Linked DNA regions of Kluyveromyces lactis. The main gene of each other region encodes a partner of the protein of the gene in region 7 in a complex. Links are inferred from orthologs where the notes say so. Each region holds a gene or a part of one and is shown on either strand. Other genes may lie near its edges. The genes, in order: MRPL24, MRPL28, MRP20, MRP7, MRPL13, MRPL31 and MRPL20.

Region 1 (2,594 bases), on a different chromosome or scaffold from region 7:
GATGATTACCCGGAGGAGTGTTTGGGAGGGTATGGGAAGTGAATGGAAACCATGAGATGCCTAGCCTGGGGTCTAAGTGGGCAGTCCAGCGGCCAGTTTGGTGGAATGTCCAGGCCCAGACCGGGCAGTCCAGCTTAGGGAGGAAACGGGACAGGCCCTGCCCAGCTCGAAGCAAGCAACGAAGACGGATGGGATGTGTCTGTGCATCCTACCGTCAGCTCAGCGGATTTGGTGGACATGAGAAAATAATTTCCTAGTATGGAAACATTCTCATTTTCAGCAGAAATTGAGTATGTATGGGTGCAACAGTCAATAATGTCTGGGTGCAACAGTCACATGCACACCGTTCAATTCAATTGAACAGTGGGTGATTAACTCTTGCATCGGTCAGTCGGACAACTAACGCATAGTCTTCAAGCATCCTCCCAGCTCATGGTAGAATCTATTTTCTCATTGTTTACAAGCTTTTATATAAAATTGGAACAAAATCTATTCAGTTCTCATACAGTAATCGTACTCAAATCGAAATTCAAGGCCTTTAATCTCGATACGATGTCTGCCACGTCACGGGTAGCAAATTGGTCCATGAATTTCTTAAACGATAGATCTAATCCATCCGCTTTGTGTTCCATCTTTTCCAATGGGAAAAGGGTATGCAATAGTTTACGCTTACCAGCAGTAATTCTCAATGGTTCTCCATCGACAACAACTTTGTACAATACGGTGACTTCGTTGCCATTGGCATCTGTGACAGTCTCAGCGTCCTTATGTACAGGATTGGCAGCTTTTTCCTTAGAGTTCAGTAGTCTGTAACGGAGTTTCCAACCAGTAGGTCCCAATTCCTTAATTCTGGCGGCCTTTTCCTTAGTCAAATAGTTGTCAATACCACCTTCCTTGGTAATTGTTCTTAAAACTTTTGCTGTCATCTTAATACTAATCTTTCTGTTCAAAGTCTCACTCCATAGTCCTTTTCTAATAACGTTTGGACTCCATGATCTCCTGGTTTTTGTCTTCGATTCAGCGATGTTATTACCGAATTGGATGAAAGACGCACCGTATAAACCTTTGTTACTCTGTTTGTAAATTGGAGATTCTCCGTATGGATAATCAGGGAATTCCTTCTTCTCCTTTGGGATATATAATGGCTTGCTGTCGCCGACTTGATACGTCTTTGGAGTTGGGATCTGTCTGCTTTCAACTAATCTCCATTCTCTGAGGAGGTGGCTAAGAGTGGAAAACCCTCTTTGGGAACTTGGAAAAAACTTCATTCCAGATGAACGATCTCCGTGCTTATTGGTGAACGTACAGAGACTCTTAGACCAACTAGCTTCATACTAGGTTCAAGCTCCTTCTCTTCACCTTAGTGCATGTATCAAGTCGTTATTTTCTAAAATTTTGAATAAGCTTTGGAAAGATCAAAACCGTATACAGCGAGAATGGTAAAGCATAAGGAAATTTATGATTAGAATACACCTCTGCGTAATGGTTGGCGGTATCATGTATGTATGAAGGGTATGTATATATGTACGGCTGGATGGATATTGTGAATGAGGTCCCTGTTGCAATTTTTCTCATTTCTTCCATGGTGATTTGAAAGCCCAATTCCCGAGACGATTTCCCTTTGGATTGGTGGCATCTTTGGTCCAAGTCTTACCTGTGCGTAATTCATAGTTCTCTTTTTCTAATTCGTCAAGGCGTGTTCTGAGCTCTTGATTTTCGTCCATAACTTCCAGATTTCTTTCCATTGTTCTATTCAAATCTGCTTTCAAATCTGTGGGAATTTCAGCATCTGGATTAGGTAACGTTTGTTTATAAAGTTCACGTTCCAGTTGTTTCTTCAAATCTTCTATCTCTAGTAATAAATCCTTATTTTCGTCCTGAAGAGTTTCCATCCGAAGTCTGTTTTCAATTAGTTCATTGGCAATAGTGATATGCTCTCTGTTTAATAGCGAATAGTCATTTTCTAATTTCTTCAACTCTTTTTGAAGCTGTCTGTTTTTAATTCTTTGTTCCTCATATTGTTGTTCCTTTTCCGTTTCCAACTTGTGAATCTCATCGTACTCTTTCACGTAACGCTCCAATTGCAATGGAGTTAATTTGATTTCCAACGAATCAGAGATGAATCTATCAATATCGTACTCTTCTGGGTTCTCCTTAGAAGCATAGTGTTGGAAAAGGTCCTCCTTCAAGAAGTCTAAGAGAGAATCGAAACTGAGAATGATCAAATTACGACTGTTCTTTAACATCAACGTTAAACTGAATTTTAGCATCGATTCGATACCTTCAAGTATGACAATATCCATGATTCTGAGAACGAATTCAAGGGGAAATTTGTATGCGAACATCGTCAGGAACCATTGAGTTGCAAACATTGTAGATCTTATTCCCTGCCTGATCAAATGGTTATACAATTGAGGATCATTTTCCTCCAAAAGTGTATCAAATTGGTACAATTTCAACATCAGGCCAGGCATTCCCGGCAAGAATAAATCCCTTAATCCGTATACTTTCATGAGTTTCGTTAATAGAGAAAACGCTTGCCATTCTTCTTCACAGTTCAATATTAAAGTAGTAGCAATAAAACCCATGCCCTG
Region 2 (2,206 bases), on a different chromosome or scaffold from region 7:
TTGGAACCATTTGTCGCCAAAGCTTTACCGAGAGAGAAGAAGAAGCGACCAAAGGAGAAAAGGAAGAGCAAATTTTGGTTTTGGGGATCCCTTACCCATCATACTGACGAAGGAAACCACAGAGACAAAGCTAGGTCGCCAGAGCTTGAAGATTATAAAATTGGTGTTGTATCACCGAATTCGCGGTCCCCCACGTTATCGATTCCTTTCTCTGATCCCGATAACACTCAGACTATTACCAATAACGCAGTATCGGACAACATTAACCATCACCTGTCGCTAATAGACCTCGACGATGACGAGGAACACTTAAAGTGTTCAACGCCACCGTTAATACTGTGATACGTACTTTTTTTAGGCCTAATATATTTATTTCTCATCCTATTTAAATATCATCTACATTAGCACTGTAACTATATACCTTTTTTTGAGCCGGCGTTATTATAACTTGTTCTCTGCGTACCGGGGTAGCCACGATTGCCTCTGGTATGTGGTTGGTGCTCATATGACCCACTTGATTGCAATTTTCTGCTTGCTCCTCTCGTAGTGCCTTGTCTTCCTTAAGAACATCTGTATACGTTGGAGGATCCTCTGGCAAGGAACTTTTCTTCTCATCAGGATATTGCTTCTGATCGTCTTGAGACATCTTTCCGTAAGTTTGAGTTTAACTGTTTACGACTCCGAATGTTGGTCCAAGGGAAATCTCAACTCTTCGAACAGCGTCGGTTCTGATTGCCATTAAAATATATTGTCGTTTCTATACATTATAAATGGTTCAAACAGGGTCCTTGATGTGCAGATTTCCCTTTAAAACCTTACAAATGGCGTAATGCTATATCATCATATATCAGATGTAAAGATGAAAAGAAGGAAAATATGATATCTAAGGTATTCCAGGCTTTGTTAGATTCAATTTTTCATTATGTGAGGTGGCATAGCAGGTAATCAAGACAAGTCGGAAGTTAATCACCTACCAGCTAGTCGAAGGGCAGCTACTCCCTGTGTACTTGAACCTTTTTAGGTCACGTGCAAAAGAGTTTAGCAGTCAAAATAATCAACAGTTCCGGGTAACAGACATTTGTTTGTTCAACATCAGTAACTTTGAAAAATTTTGAAGATTCGATGAGGTTTCAGTGAGTTTATTGTTAGCTTTGACAATAAATTGAATGACGATTAAATACGGGTTGATTTTCTGCGATAAGTTCGTGTGATAGCATACAGCTTCTCAGCCAACCGAAAGGATCATTAATACTCCATCCACTATGCTAGCGAGTGCAGCATCTCGTAAGAATGCCTTGAAGGTAGTGCAACCCTCTTTGAACTTTGTTCGTGGGAAAAGAACTAAATCGAAAGGTGGATTAAATCCTCAAGCGCAAAGAATCATTACACAACTCTCTGTTATGTCTGCTAGCAGGAAACAGCCAAAACTTTTAAAACTTTCCCGTGAAGATTTGATCAAACATGATATGATTCAAGCTTGTTGGGCGCAATATCAAAGGGAACTGAGGGAAAAGAGAACAAATCTCTTGAAACTACAGTACGAGAATATAGAAGAAGCTATGAACTTATTAGAACAGGTAGATCCCGAACTATATGAAATGGCTAACGCTGAAGAATCAGGTAAGAGGGTCCCATTGGAACTAAGGGTACCTACTCAATACCCACCGAACAATGTGTGGTATTATGATTACAAGAAAAAGGATTGAATAGTTCGTTTCCAGGCATAATGCATTAAAGGTAGAGCACGAATCATATTTCACATTATCTCTTCTAGGACACTTTTTTATCGGTACACCAAACGTGGGTTGCTCGAGAAACAACTTGTGTGATCTACAGGCAAGACCAAGTGCCACGCAATAAAATATAATGGAGATGTTGCATTATATATTGTAATGAAAGAGTTAGATAGAAGAAATGTAAACAAACCATGTAAATAAGCAATTCTACGAAATGATTATCGGCAGAATGAAGCTCTTAAGCTTTTCAAAGGGGACTTTAACCGTATTCCAAAGTGACAGTGTACTTCAGAAAAAAACATGGCTTCTGTGTATACATCGGTTCGAATATGAATAATGGTCTTGTTTACAAATAGCATTATTCATTTGACTTAGATGATTTTAGCTTGAATGGGTACATGGTTAGCAAAATGGCATCACCATACATATTTTCTCCAGAATGATTTGCCTGCGGTGTTTTCAACGTTTGG
Region 3 (2,661 bases), on a different chromosome or scaffold from region 7:
CTTGGACAATATTACCTGCAGAACGTTCTTGAGCGATCAAAACCTTTTCTGAACCGTTAATGATAAAGTAACCACCCATGTCGAACGGACATTCCTTCAAACGATACAAATCAGATTCTGTCAAATCGTCCAACAAACAGTACTTCGATCTCAACATGATAGGTACTCTCCCGATGAAAATTTTATTATTTTCCTCATTCTCTTCACTTTCCTCAGTGATAATTTCGTATTTCAAATCACGACCTGGAATATCAATAGCCTGATAAGTTCTCTTCTGAATTTCCACAAATAAACCTGATGCGTAAGTCAAGTTTCTGAGACGGGCTTCCTGCGGATACATCGCATGAGAAACACCATCTGACTCAGTCATGGATGGTTTGGCCAAATAAATCTTACCAAATGAAATTTCATACTTTCTGGAAATGTTGTCCGTTTCAGTGGTATGCTGTGCTAATTGTTCCAAAATCAAGGTACTGTCTTCCAAGATAAGATCCTGAATCGTATAGTTGATGAATTGGTTAAAAGAATCCAACTGCTGAGATACTAAACCTTTTTCTCTGAAGAAAGCGGAGATAACAGTCCACGAATCTTCTGCTGAAATAGCAGCTTCTTCCTCATCGTACCCATATGGATCTTCATCATAGTATTCAGTCATCCTTGGTCTGTATTAAGAATTGCAAACGTTAATAATCTACACTGACCTCACAACCGTGGCAAATAATGCGTACGTGCGTGCTTATTATTAAAGTACAGAATAACACTCTTTGTTGTGTTGCTCGCAACCTGAAAAGAAATGTGTATTACTGGTCAAACAAAGAAGAAAACACACCCCAAATACAAAGAGTTAAGGACTTACCCAATAATCCGAAACAAACCCCACTCTGACAGAAGATGATTAAGCCGACTGGTACTCTCTTTTCTCTTCTCTCTTCCAATCTTCCTATTAACGATCAATCGGTAATTACGTTTCGCCTCTCAAAACAATAATATTTCAATTTCAAGCTTCCAGAGTATTTTTTTTCTTCACTATAAAGAGAACATCATTTCCCACGTCACAAACGGGTAACAGCATTTATTCAAAAATTTCAATATATCAGGTCACGTGAAGATCATTTCCTACGCTCTGATTTTTCCAATAAAAAATCTTTCTTCTAAAACATCCCAGAGCTCTCCAGTTTTGTACGACATATTCTACGTTAGATTCGTGCCAAAATGTGTACTCATCAGCTTTTCTAATATCTACTAACATGGAAAATGAGTATTTTAAAGCTTTTCATTGAAATGATTTCGATTTTAACATTAAGATTTGTATGAAGATGAGGCTTCTAAGAGACGCATACAAGAACAGGATTATTTGGGACTTTTCAGTTGCGAGTGCAGAGCGAAGTGAAGTAGTAATCTTTGCGCCAGTGTTTCTGTTCAATATCTATAACAAATGCCTCGTTTTTTCCCATCTCTCAAACAGGGTTTGAGAAACCTTGCTACTGCGGTAGAGACGGAATCTACAGTAGCAGTCAAAGCCAGTCAGTTCAAGAGACCTCGTCAATCCGTACAAAGCAGAATCTTGGAGTACACTCGTGAAGCGATTAAAACTGAGAAACCACATTTTAAAGTTGGTGGTGCAGAGCTCTATTTTCCTAAAGCGAGAGTTATTCTACTAAGACCAAATGCTAAACACACTCCATATCAAGCGAAATTCATCGTTCCTAAATCGTTTAACAAATTAGATTTAAGAGATTATTTATTCCACCTTTATGGTTTAAGAGCGTTGAACGTTACTACACAGTTATTGCATGCCAGATACACTCGTGCTACGCCGGTGTCGCCCAGGTACCGTGGTCCTCAAATCAAGAAGATGACTATCGATATGGCAGAACCATTTATCTGGCCTGCAGAACCTGAGGACAAGAGTGCATGGAATACTGAGTTCCAAAAGGAATTGGAAAAATACAGAAACGATAGGATGAGACTAGGATCCGACGCTAACAAACCTTCAAAGGCATTCGATGGTGTATTGGGACCATACCAGGAAACTGCAAAACCTTTCATTCCTAGATTCCTTAAAAGAAGACTAGTGAATAAGAAGGCTAGAGAGGCAAAGAAGGAACAATATTTGGAGCAAATCAAGAAGGTCAGTGAAGTCCTTGCTAAAAGCACATGAATTTCAGAGAATTTATTCTTTCATGAATTAAATTCTAGTAAAAGTATTACATCCTGTAAATATAATGTATGAAATATAGTACTGATTTAAAAACTGTCATAGCAAAATAATATGACGACTACTTGTGAACATTTTCAATGTTTAAATGAGAAATAAGTTTGAAGAACACTATATGTATGTATAAAAGATAAATACATTGTGGTGAATATTAAGGGAAAGTTAAGTGCAGTATGTCCCAGTTTGAAAAAAAATGAAGCGAAAAAAGAGTAACGGTATAAGATTTCTATTTGATTCCTGAATTTCCGTTGTATTGATCTTCACGGTTCAGGATGGAAGGGTTCAATAACGGGCAGGTGCTCATTTAATGTCATACTTAGTCACTAAACGGTTAATCTTGTTTCTTTTTTTCCTGTTGCTGATTATACTAAGATTGGCATTCTAATGTTCTTTATAAGTTCCTATTCCAATTAGTACACGGAGTTTCTAGTTTTTTTGTTCCT
Region 4 (2,740 bases), on a different chromosome or scaffold from region 7:
TTTGGTGGTAAGATTGTTGATATCGCTGAACAAAGTTGTATTGTGGAATTATGTGCTAAACCATCCCGTATCTCTGCATTCTTGAAACTTGTGGAACCTTTCGGTATCTTGGAAGTGGCAAGATCAGGTATGATGGCTCTACCAAGAACCCATTTATCTGTCGGTGATGAAGATGATGCTCAAAGCAAGATGAATGACATCGTTGATATCTCTCAATTGCCTCCTGGTTGATCCAAAGGGCTCACCTGCCATAGTTTTGTACCTCAAAACAATCCAATATCAAAAAAATAGTAATGTAAGAGTATGTTTTGGATTTTGTCTCACACATATAGACAAATTAAATACGTTAACGATATAATATGGAATTAACCTTTCCAAATGATATATAGTCTCTAAAAAACTTTCGTTTTTTTCAGTTTAAACTATGATGATTGTTGTGGTTCTTTTGTTAATATGTACAAGGCTCTAAATGGTTTGTTACGTAACGACTTGGGGAAGATTTACAATTTGCTCAAGAAATCGGTCTTTGGTCTTGTAATGACATCTATCGTGTTTTGTTCGTAGTTGTAACGTCTGGTGGTTAGATTTTTCTTGGAAGGTTTGAGTGGTTCTTCCAATTTCTTCAATTCTGTTTCTGGTTTCACTGGCTTCAAGAATTTTCTGCGTAGTCTCACCTCTTCAGATAACGTCAAGAAGTTCTTTGCATCAGTAAACTTGGCTAGTACTTGCTTCTTACTGTTCTTGTCCTTAATATCAATTGCCTTCAAATCAGTAATTAGTTGTGTCTTTAGAGTATTCTTTTCTTCTGGAGAAATGTATTTAGTTAATTCAAGCTTGTTGTTAAATGACAATGATTCATTCAATTTGGTCGAGACCTGTTTCAACAATGTTAGTTTGTCGTCCAACTTAGATTTTTCTTGGTTTCTCATCTTCAATTTAAGTTCTTGTTCCAAATAGTAGTACGAATTAAATCGGGCATCGGATTCATTGAACCCATTCTTCAAACAAGTTCTCCATCTGAGCAAATATGGTAATGCAAACGCAAGTTCTTGTTGATCCAGCTCAACTTTCAGATCTGAAATTATCTTGCTGTATTCTGCCTTCAACTCTTCACGTTTAATCTCACGTTCTTGCTGTTTCTTGATCAATTCATCCTTCAGCAAATAAATCTTTCTTGGTAAAGCGTTCTCTTCTGCAATGGCTTTCTCTTCATCCTCAATGATGGCCTTGCCGAATCTTCTCAAACGTGGTTCGAAATGCGGCAAAGGAAGCTTTACATCCTTGTATAATGATACACCAATGAATTTCTTACCTGGATGAAATGGATCCAAATAGTATCTCACATAACCCGGCTCCAAAGCGAAAAGCGTATGATCTTTACCGATGCCTACATTTTCACCAGGATAAAACTTGGTACCACGTTGTCTCATGATGATCTCACCAACTTGAGTGGCTTGACCCTCGTATTTTTTTGGACCCAATCTACGACCAGCAGAGTCCTTCATACTGGTACGAGAACCTGCTGCACGCTTGGTTGCAGTACGCACCTGCTGCACCACAAACTTGGGAACTTGTTGCCACGAAGATGAGAACATTATGCGTTGTTTCGTAGGCCTGGTCCGAACAGTATCAAGCAATGTCACAGTAACTGTATTTCTGCGTGTATCTGTACTTAATGTATTTAAGATAGGATTTTAGTGACAAAAATTTTCCACAGTATGGCGGATTGTAAGGTAGGGTAACAACGAAATCCAACAAGATATAGCCCTTCGAAGGTTCGTGTAACTGACTGTTTAAGAGTTGAAAGTATTGATTTATACATTTTACCAATTTCATCTATTGCTGAGAGTTCTTTCGATACCATAGTGAATTTTTCATGCTTGAGAAGGAGTAAACGTCTAATTCACGTCAAAGTTATTCGAAACTGAGGTTCCAATTAAAGATCTACCATCACTATATACGTTTTGATGTTCTCTTCCAGCACGAAAAACTCATATTTCTCTAAGTACAAAACATCAAGAAACCGACACTGCTTGCATCGAAAAGAAGTCTTCACCTTTCAGATTTACGTTTGAATAAACAGGACGTCCATTTATAGAAGTTTCCCAAATTAATTATCGTGCTGGTGAAGCCCATATTATCTAATTGAAATAGGAATACTAAGAACCGACAGCCCATAGATAAAAAAAAAATAAAACAAAATATATCAGTGATTCTAGCGAAAATGGCAACGGAAGATAGATGGGGTCTTGCCGTGACTCAATTACAAGATCTATATAAAATAGGAGATATTGCGGGGTTTGAGTCTTTAGATCCGAAGAATATGAATTTCCAGAATATGAATTTGAATCAATTGGCTGATATCCATGAGAAATTAGAGGCTCGTCAGTCTGTAAATGAAAAGATGAGAAATTACTGCAGAGATTTGGTAGAGAACATTTCATACATATTAGATAATTATCCAGTGGAAGAGGAACCTATATTAAAGGAGGAATCCAGTTCGACGCATATCCCTGAATCGAGTGTTGTTGGTAGATCACATTGGACCAGTCAATTCAACCCAAGTGAACCAATTGAGGTTGGTTCCGAAGTTGCATATAAATCTAAAAAGACTGGCGAATGGATCCAGTGCATATGCACAAAAGTTTCTGGGGACGGACTCCGGTTTGAAGTGAAAGATCCAGAACCCGATGAATTTGGGAAACCAGGTGGTATATTCAAATGTAACTCGAAAGAGATC
Region 5 (2,692 bases), about 430 kb from region 7:
ACATGAATCTAGATAAGATTGATTTATTGGTTCATTATAGATATGAGACTGTACCACAAGATGCTGTGAATAGATTAATCCAAAATAGGTTCAAAAAAAATGTGCCTTCTCATCCCAAACCATCTAACCAATTAATTCCTGGAATTCCCAATGAAACCCTTCTTCCAGCAGTAATTGTTGCTCTCGGTGCGTCAATTGCCGTGATATTTTCGTTATCGAGAAAACACTAGGTATACAATCAATGCCACGCTCTTTTCAAACCTTATATAAAAGTATATATATATTCACATACAATAATTTTTTTTTGGTGATTGATCTCTCATACTAATGGTTATAGTAACATTATGTATAAGTATTTATATTATGTACAGGATTTAGATTGAAGGAAAAGTCAAATCAAAGATCTGAAAAGCGGCCGACTGGCCTAGTTCAAATGCATTGGAAAAAAAGATATGCGATAGTAAATATAAACAACCCAGAAGAGAGATTGTTTTCGGAGTTTAATCCCTTTTAGCTTTCTCAATAGCGTCTCTTTCATATTGAGCTTCCAATGCGGCGACCTCTTCCAAGATTTTCTTCACCTTCTGTTTTTTCACAGATGGTTTGACATCGGGAACCACGTACACGTTTGGTGGGAATTTGATATTCGATAAATCAATGGCGTTTGGTTCCGATTCCTTAAATTTCCCTAGTTGACCACTTAGTACTTTAATCTCAAACCACGATTTAAATTCCAATGGAGTTTGTAACCTTGTAAGTTCGTAGTCTGGGATAATGTGTCCTGATTTGCATTGTAGCAGTTTACTGAATTTGAACTTGTTTACCAAATTTTCGAAAGGTTTCCCCAGTTGTTCTTCCGTTGGGACATCACCGAAAGTTTCCTGATAACTTTCCAAAACAACCTGTTCCAACTGTTGTTCGGTACTTAATTTATCCTGAGATAACCACTCGTTGAATGGGACGACATCCAACTTTTGTAAACGAATAAGTTCTTCTCTTCTAGATGAATCGATACCAACAAAATCATCATCTGTTAACTCTAATCTTGTGACCGTTGAGCTCTTCACTACAGTTGTTTTCCCGGACTCGATCTCATTTATAACTTCTTTTGTATCTCTTTGCAATTCTGGCTGTGTTGAAACGACACCAGCATCTTTGTTTTTATTTCTTCTGAACCATGACAAGAAATCAGAGCGCACTGCACTTGAAGTGAATTGTCTTGATGAACGCACTACTGGCACGTACCTAGACGCTAGCATCATTATTCTTTTTTGTTTTCGATTGAAAAATATGCACAGTACCACGCTTTAATGAACTGATATCAACCGCCAAATCAGACAACACTAGAAGATACTTCTGTGCTTAAGCTCATCAAGAACTTGACCGTTCAATTAATGTTCTAATATACAATATCTTCATCAAATTGTAAGTTTATAGTTTTTAGATGAAATTTTTCAATTTTTCAATTGGGCATAGAAAGAATGTAGTCCATATGGGAAGGTTCTAAAGAGAGAAAGAAACAGGATCTGAAGCGATAGATAGTTGCATCATAGTGGTCTTTAACAACGGGTCGAGTTAAGTGCGTACTTCCTGGTTTGCATGATGTTCACTGTATTCAGTAACTAAAAGCTGCTTATCTATGTAGCCCGATAGATAAAGAAGACGGGGTTACCCTATTCAAAACACCCACAACCCACATACTAGAATATGAAATTTATGCTTCCCAGTGCTTTTTATCAACATCTATAGTAAGTGTAGTTCCTTTACCTTAAAGCCACCAAGGCAATGAGATAGTTTACGTTTACTAACGAATTCTAGCATCAGTAGCTACCGAAAATCTGCCTAAAACATTTAAAATATTATGGGAAATGTGCTAAGTTGCTGCTTTCGTCAAGATAGCGACGAAAATGACCCGTTATTGCAGGAACAGGACAGGTACGGCTCACAAGCCCAATTAGATTATAACGAAATGGAACAACGACAGAAGGAAAGAGTGCTTGCAAGAGAACTTGAATTGACCGAAATCGTGAATAATACGAACGATAAGCTTATAGATATAGGTATGATCAGCAACAGCGGTATCGTAGCATCCTCACACGATTTAGGTTCGAGCTATGTGCAAGATCAAAGAGAAATTTTACATGACGTACCCTTAACGGTACTTCCCAGTTCGAAAATAAAACAGGACACAAGGAAGGCGATTCAAGAATTTCACAAAAAGTACTTCGCTAACCTAGTGAAAAACCTTACCGTGGAATATAACAAGCCATTGGTCGCCAATATCGAATCGTGACGCAATAGGTTTCTGCACTATTAGCGCACTCAAAATGGGTTCACCAAATGTTGAAATGCGATATATCACTATATACGTCTGAACATTTCTCAATCTTGTAAAGGTACTTTCACTCTCTTTATTGAAAACATTGAAATATACAAACTTTGTAGAATAGACATATAAAACAATACGCAGTATACGATTTTGGTTTGTCAAAGGAGCCAATTAGGTACGGTTAGAGTAAGTGCCTTGACTGCTGCATATATACTGAAATTTGTTCATTTAAGAAGCCAAGGAAGCGAGGAGGCAAAAAAAAAAGCATAAACAAACTGGAAAGCGCCAAATACTATGGCTGTGAAAAGAAGCAGATCAGAAGATCCCAGTGAGGAACCCGAACAAAAGCATTCAAAACAGAAT
Region 6 (2,358 bases), on a different chromosome or scaffold from region 7:
GAGCTCATGAAACAATTGCAATCACAGCTGCAAAGACAGCAAACTAAAGTGCAGGCACTTAAAAAGAATTTTCAGGAGCAAACAAGCCAAGTGAAACGCGTAGAGGACGAATTAAACATACCGAAATTGCAACAAGACATAGATAAACTGGTACAGGAAATTAACCAGCTTCGAGATACGATACAAGAGGGTATTCAAAAGGTCGTAGAAACACAGAAACAATTACTCAATGACGATACTGATGCTGCCCACACGATTGATGAGGAACCGATCGGTAAAGATGACAAGATACGTGTGCTAAAGTTGAAGTTGTTCCATTCCCTTGACGTAGCACTATATAATGACCAATTGCTCGATCTAAGGAATGAAGCCCGTCCATTATCATCATCATCATCATCTCACAACATCTGGGATGAACTATGATACCTTGATTTTATTCACTATGTACAGGGGCTACTTACTATGTAATAATAGAAGTTTTTAATGATGATTCATCCAAATCAGAAATGACGTGGGTTTCTTCTGATGGAAAGCTTGGTCCATTTGGGAACTTTATGTATACCCTTTCTATATCCCTTCGAGTACCTGTTGAATACACTGTACTTATCAGTAGCAGACATCTCCGGTTCCTTTGGGAAATACTGAGCCTTGTCTAAAATACGTAAGCTCTTCACACGAGGTTTAATCTTACGTAGATTCAGCTGAGATCCCTCAGAAACCGCCATATGGTTTCTTTCAAGATGAAGACCTAACTTAAGAGTTGAAAGAACATCATCAACGCTTCTCAAACGGTCTCTTTGTCTTGCTTTTTGAGGACCAGACATACGCCATGGGACTTTCCATAATAATCCACCTAATGCAGGTTGTGTAGCTCTGAATGCACCGAACATTTCTCTATGAAACAAAGATATTCAATTGACCCGGGTATGACAGAACCTAACGAGCTGCTTAAACAGTTTGTATAACGGTGCTACTGGCTGGCTTTTACCAATTTCCCACCGTAATTCATGGTATTAAATCTTTTAAACCTTCGAAATTTTTCAAAGTATCCATGAAAAAGCTTTAAATCTCAACATTATGCAAATGAACAATGTCAACTGATTTAAACGATTTTGGGGAACAGCCAGCGTATTGTCATTTGTAGCTGCTGCTGTGTCCATAACCATAGGTCAGAAGTTCTTATAGTACTGGAATACTGCACCACAAAGATAGATTATTCATTTAGAAATGTCAGAGGGCGTTGGAAAGCATAATCAAAGATTACCAATTTGGGTATTGAACCCTACCGAGGAGAAAGAAGCTCGTCAGAATTTGAAGAAATTTGCATATGCACAATGTGTAGAATACGTGGAGGCCATGGTCGAATGTTCAAAGATTCATGGATTGAAGCTTTTCCCAGCGTGTAACGAACCTCGTGACGCTATGCGCAAATGTATATTATCATACCAGAAGGATTCTAATCTGGATCGTCAACGTGACTTGATAGTGGAACGTAAGATTGAGAGACTTGAGGATCTTCTCAAGAAACAAAAGGAATAAAGTTGACATGATATGACATGACATGACATGCCACTGGGGTTACTTGTATATAGTAGTAGATACTGCACCATAATAAATTAACATTTTAGAAAGGCACATCCATGATTGAAGTTTATCTGCTTCATTGTTTCCCATTATAATTATAGTTTGTACAGGTGTTCAAAAGAGTAAACTAGTTTACATTAAGTCTAGAAGATCGGTTGCATGGGAATTCGAGGTGTTGTTGTTGTTATTATTGGTTTTCTGTGAAATGTTTACTTTCCCCATATCACCAGTGATATCGAAAAGATCATTTAGTTCGTCCAGGACGCCTGTACTTCTCGTGGCAGAGCTATCACCCATGTCAAGTAGTACATCATCGTTCATGTTTTTCAGGATCTCGTTCGTGGCCATTCCCTTTAATTCATCAATATCCTTATCCTTAATGATGTGAACTTCGTTGGGACGGCGTTGCATCTGCGAGATTGGTTTGAAATACACAGAGGATAGAGTGGAGAGCTCTTGAAGTAGACTTTGTAATGTTTCCTTGGAGAAGTGGTCCAAGGTAGAATGCAATTTAGGAATTTCATGCTTGTCAAATAATTGGTTGATGATTTGATCACCGTTGTCGATCGATAGACACCGCCAGTACATCATGGCCATGTCTCTAACGTCCAAATCGTGGACGTCTGTCGTACAAAGTTCCAAGATCTTCTGTAAGAAAGCACTTGAGACTGCATTATGGCATTTCACTACACCCATTAGAAGGGACATTTGAGTTAGGGATCCTAATTCATCGAAAACTTCTACCAGTGGTTCAAGCTTAGTTTCCAAATTTTC
Region 7 (2,347 bases):
GGATAAAGAGGACGGAGTTGATAAAGAGGATATAAACAGCGACGAGAGGTTGTTCTGTGAGACGCAGGTGATATCGAATCTGAAGGAGCTGCATACGGTATTGCAGCGGAGGGAGAAATGGTATCAGATAGCAATGTTGTGCGAGGGACAGCATAGGCATCAGATTGCATTGGAACTACAAATAAAAGATGCGTATCAGATGCAGTTATTCGAAGATATAATCCTGAGAATCCGAGATGAGTACGAAATTTTCCAAGAGATGTACGATGGGTATTAGTGGTACTAATGTATCATTTTTTCCTAACGATAATGACCCCAGCTGTAACTTATTGAGATAGACACTAATTTTTGCACGTCTTCCATTGTATTATATTACATGCATATATATAGATGTTATAAGCCATTTAATAGAGTTGATGACTAACGATTGAAACATAAGGTCGATGGTTATCTTATTACTATTTACAGATATACAGTATGTTGTTTTCTTTTACCTTTTCTCATGCTCTGTACCAGAGTTCCTTTCTCTTTTTTCTTTCGGCTCTGGCCAATGCTCTCTTAGGATGCCATTGGCTCTTTATCGTCTCAAGAACTTGATTCATTTCTGTCTTTCTTTCCTTGGGTGGTTCAGAAACAATAGAGATGAACAACGGAGAACAGTTGAACTTCTTTGCTAAAGCTTTTCTAGAGTTTTTCACCGGGTCCTCCAGTCTTAGTCTTCTAATCTCAGCGATGTCTTCAGGCTTCAAATGGTAGGTCTTCTCACCCTTCTCATGTAACACTGGCGCTACCCTCGATATCTCTGCGTTACCTTGCGTTAGGTCATCTATAATGTCGTGCCTTGGATCAGTGGCCGGTAAGAAAGATTTTGGAATCGTTTCTGAGTTAGTAGAACCATGGATAGAGGATGGAGCTGGATCGTAATATAGACCTGCTGGAATCTTGGCTTTCAAATAACCTTTGTAATTGGAGGCAGATGATTTTGGATTGTAAATGGTAGCTGGTCCAACGATCTTAGGTAACTTACCTGATTTATCAATTATCTTTGAAAGATCCTTGGCCGCACGGGCGCTGGTCGAAAATAGTCTCACCATACTGTAGCGAATATGTCAAATGTAATTTCTACAGCGTAATTGGGGATTATAAGCCTGGTGTAAGGGTCTAAAACTTGTTATTTAAACTATCAATCACCATGTTTCGCACTGCAGACTCTAAATCTTTCAGTTTGATGCTTTCAAATTTTTCAGATAGAAATCCTGATGAGACAGACAGGATTAGTATGGGAAAACAGTTTATTTCGAGAAATATAGGATTATTCTAGTGGATATACCTACCTGAAGATGCTTCTATATAATATCGATTAGTACTATGAATGAGTGTGAGCTGACCTGTTAAAATAGGGCTTATATTGGCGATATTATGCAGCTTTTAGAAGTGCCAATTTGGACTATTCTGTATCTTTTGTCACGTGAAAGCCGGGTAATCCCAACATCAACATCAAATGTCGTTCCTATTCACAACAGGAAGAGCTGAAAGGCTATGAGATGGGACAAGAATAATGGCATAAACAGTCCTTGTGATACTTCATTAGCAGCTCTGTCTCATCAGGTTTTACGCCAGGTGGTAGGTTTACCAAGCAACAGAATTAGATGAATGCAGAACTTCAAGAATGGATTCAACAGAATACGGAATCAAGAGTGACAGAGAAGTTTGTTGAGACTTTAAGGCAGATTGCACGTATTCATAAGGATGTAAACAAGTTCATCGGGGGTGCTAAGGCTTTGGGGAAATTTAAGGGCAAAGATGAGTTTTTGAAGCAACTTTTTGAAAAATTACAGGCACATAAGCAGTCTCCAAAGCCAGAATCAGCGGCTGTTCCAGCAAGAACCATAAGGAAAAAATTTGTGGTTAAACTTCCGTTGGATGACAAGGAAGACGACGATGAAGATGAGCTTTCTACTGTGAAGGTACAAGTGAAACCAAAATTCAACAAGCCTTTGACTTTGAAACGTATTACGAAGCAAACTGCAGCAAAATTGAATGAGTTTTCAGAAAACACTGAACCAGTGGTCATGGTAAAAAAAGAAGAAGCGACCAAAGGCACACTTATCGATGCAGAAGGTAGTGATGTGGAAGATATAAAGGACGCCAAGGATTTTACTGCACAAGATAGAAATTGGTACGATAATGATGATGATTTTGATAACGTCATTCACGATGATGAATATATACCAGCTCAGCAAGATCCGTACGAAGGCGGCGACAGAGAGCTTGACTTGAATGAACCTGAAATCCAATTAACTTCCTTATCGTTGAATGAGCGTAAAACCATTATTCCTCCGTTTTT

What was found.
Region 1: MRPL20 (region 7) and MRPL24 share a complex: the UniProt entries of both Saccharomyces cerevisiae proteins name them as parts of the mitochondrial large ribosomal subunit. The link is inferred for Kluyveromyces lactis from reciprocal best matches to the Saccharomyces cerevisiae genes MRPL20 and MRPL24.
Region 2: MRPL20 (region 7) and MRPL28 share a complex: the UniProt entries of both Saccharomyces cerevisiae proteins name them as parts of the mitochondrial large ribosomal subunit. The link is inferred for Kluyveromyces lactis from reciprocal best matches to the Saccharomyces cerevisiae genes MRPL20 and MRPL28.
Region 3: MRPL20 (region 7) and MRP20 share a complex: the UniProt entries of both Saccharomyces cerevisiae proteins name them as parts of the mitochondrial large ribosomal subunit. The link is inferred for Kluyveromyces lactis from reciprocal best matches to the Saccharomyces cerevisiae genes MRPL20 and MRP20.
Region 4: MRPL20 (region 7) and MRP7 share a complex: the UniProt entries of both Saccharomyces cerevisiae proteins name them as parts of the mitochondrial large ribosomal subunit. The link is inferred for Kluyveromyces lactis from reciprocal best matches to the Saccharomyces cerevisiae genes MRPL20 and MRP7.
Region 5: MRPL20 (region 7) and MRPL13 share a complex: the UniProt entries of both Saccharomyces cerevisiae proteins name them as parts of the mitochondrial large ribosomal subunit. The link is inferred for Kluyveromyces lactis from reciprocal best matches to the Saccharomyces cerevisiae genes MRPL20 and MRPL13.
Region 6: MRPL20 (region 7) and MRPL31 share a complex: the UniProt entries of both Saccharomyces cerevisiae proteins name them as parts of the mitochondrial large ribosomal subunit. The link is inferred for Kluyveromyces lactis from reciprocal best matches to the Saccharomyces cerevisiae genes MRPL20 and MRPL31.

Annotation. Positions count from the first base shown.
Region 1 is NC_006040.1:1,064,461-1,067,054, forward strand, and holds MRPL24 (mitochondrial 54S ribosomal protein bL28m), read right to left. Parts: upstream 1,269-2,594; coding exon 501-1,268; downstream 1-500. Other genes in the region: KLLA0_D12584g (uncharacterized protein), read right to left, coding at 1,572-2,594. UniProt on the Saccharomyces cerevisiae protein: Component of the mitochondrial ribosome (mitoribosome), a dedicated translation machinery responsible for the synthesis of mitochondrial genome-encoded proteins, including at least some of the essential transmembrane subunits of the mitochondrial respiratory chain.
Region 2 is NC_006039.1:1,299,935-1,302,140, forward strand, and holds MRPL28 (mitochondrial 54S ribosomal protein mL40), read left to right. Parts: upstream 1-1,262; coding exon 1,263-1,706; downstream 1,707-2,206. Other genes in the region: LFT1 (Lft1p), read left to right, coding at 1-342; KLLA0_C14916g (uncharacterized protein), read right to left, coding at 386-646; KLLA0_C14949g (MFS transporter), read right to left, coding at 2,153-2,206. UniProt on the Saccharomyces cerevisiae protein: Component of the mitochondrial ribosome (mitoribosome), a dedicated translation machinery responsible for the synthesis of mitochondrial genome-encoded proteins, including at least some of the essential transmembrane subunits of the mitochondrial respiratory chain.
Region 3 is NC_006038.1:504,701-507,361, forward strand, and holds MRP20 (mitochondrial 54S ribosomal protein uL23m), read left to right. Parts: upstream 1-1,435; coding exon 1,436-2,161; downstream 2,162-2,661. Other genes in the region: DNA-directed RNA polymerase II subunit RPB2, read right to left, coding at 1-655. UniProt on the Saccharomyces cerevisiae protein: Component of the mitochondrial ribosome (mitoribosome), a dedicated translation machinery responsible for the synthesis of mitochondrial genome-encoded proteins, including at least some of the essential transmembrane subunits of the mitochondrial respiratory chain.
Region 4 is NC_006042.1:1,140,011-1,142,750, forward strand, and holds MRP7 (mitochondrial 54S ribosomal protein bL27m), read right to left. Parts: upstream 1,596-2,740; coding exon 501-1,595; downstream 1-500. Other genes in the region: ILV6 (acetolactate synthase regulatory subunit), read left to right, coding at 1-231; SGF29 (Sgf29p), read left to right, coding at 2,225-2,740. UniProt on the Saccharomyces cerevisiae protein: Component of the mitochondrial ribosome (mitoribosome), a dedicated translation machinery responsible for the synthesis of mitochondrial genome-encoded proteins, including at least some of the essential transmembrane subunits of the mitochondrial respiratory chain.
Region 5 is NC_006037.1:258,004-260,695, forward strand, and holds MRPL13 (mitochondrial 54S ribosomal protein mL50 MRPL13), read right to left. Parts: upstream 1,263-2,692; coding exon 501-1,262; downstream 1-500. Other genes in the region: KLLA0_A02893g (uncharacterized protein), read left to right, coding at 1-230; MEH1 (Meh1p), read left to right, coding at 1,862-2,293; RSC4 (Rsc4p), read left to right, coding at 2,624-2,692. UniProt on the Saccharomyces cerevisiae protein: Component of the mitochondrial ribosome (mitoribosome), a dedicated translation machinery responsible for the synthesis of mitochondrial genome-encoded proteins, including at least some of the essential transmembrane subunits of the mitochondrial respiratory chain.
Region 6 is NC_006041.1:1,082,310-1,084,667, forward strand, and holds MRPL31 (mitochondrial 54S ribosomal protein mL60), read right to left. Parts: upstream 891-2,358; coding exon 501-890; downstream 1-500. Other genes in the region: kinetochore-associated Ndc80 complex subunit SPC24, read left to right, coding at 1-423; CMC1 (Cmc1p), read left to right, coding at 1,228-1,539; APL2 (Apl2p), read right to left, coding at 1,717-2,358. UniProt on the Saccharomyces cerevisiae protein: Component of the mitochondrial ribosome (mitoribosome), a dedicated translation machinery responsible for the synthesis of mitochondrial genome-encoded proteins, including at least some of the essential transmembrane subunits of the mitochondrial respiratory chain.
Region 7 is NC_006037.1:691,353-693,699, reverse strand, and holds MRPL20 (mitochondrial 54S ribosomal protein mL58), read right to left. Parts: upstream 1,095-2,347; coding exon 501-1,094; downstream 1-500. Other genes in the region: KLLA0_A07777g (uncharacterized protein), read left to right, coding at 1-277; DEAH-box RNA helicase PRP16, read left to right, coding at 1,650-2,347. UniProt on the Saccharomyces cerevisiae protein: Component of the mitochondrial ribosome (mitoribosome), a dedicated translation machinery responsible for the synthesis of mitochondrial genome-encoded proteins, including at least some of the essential transmembrane subunits of the mitochondrial respiratory chain.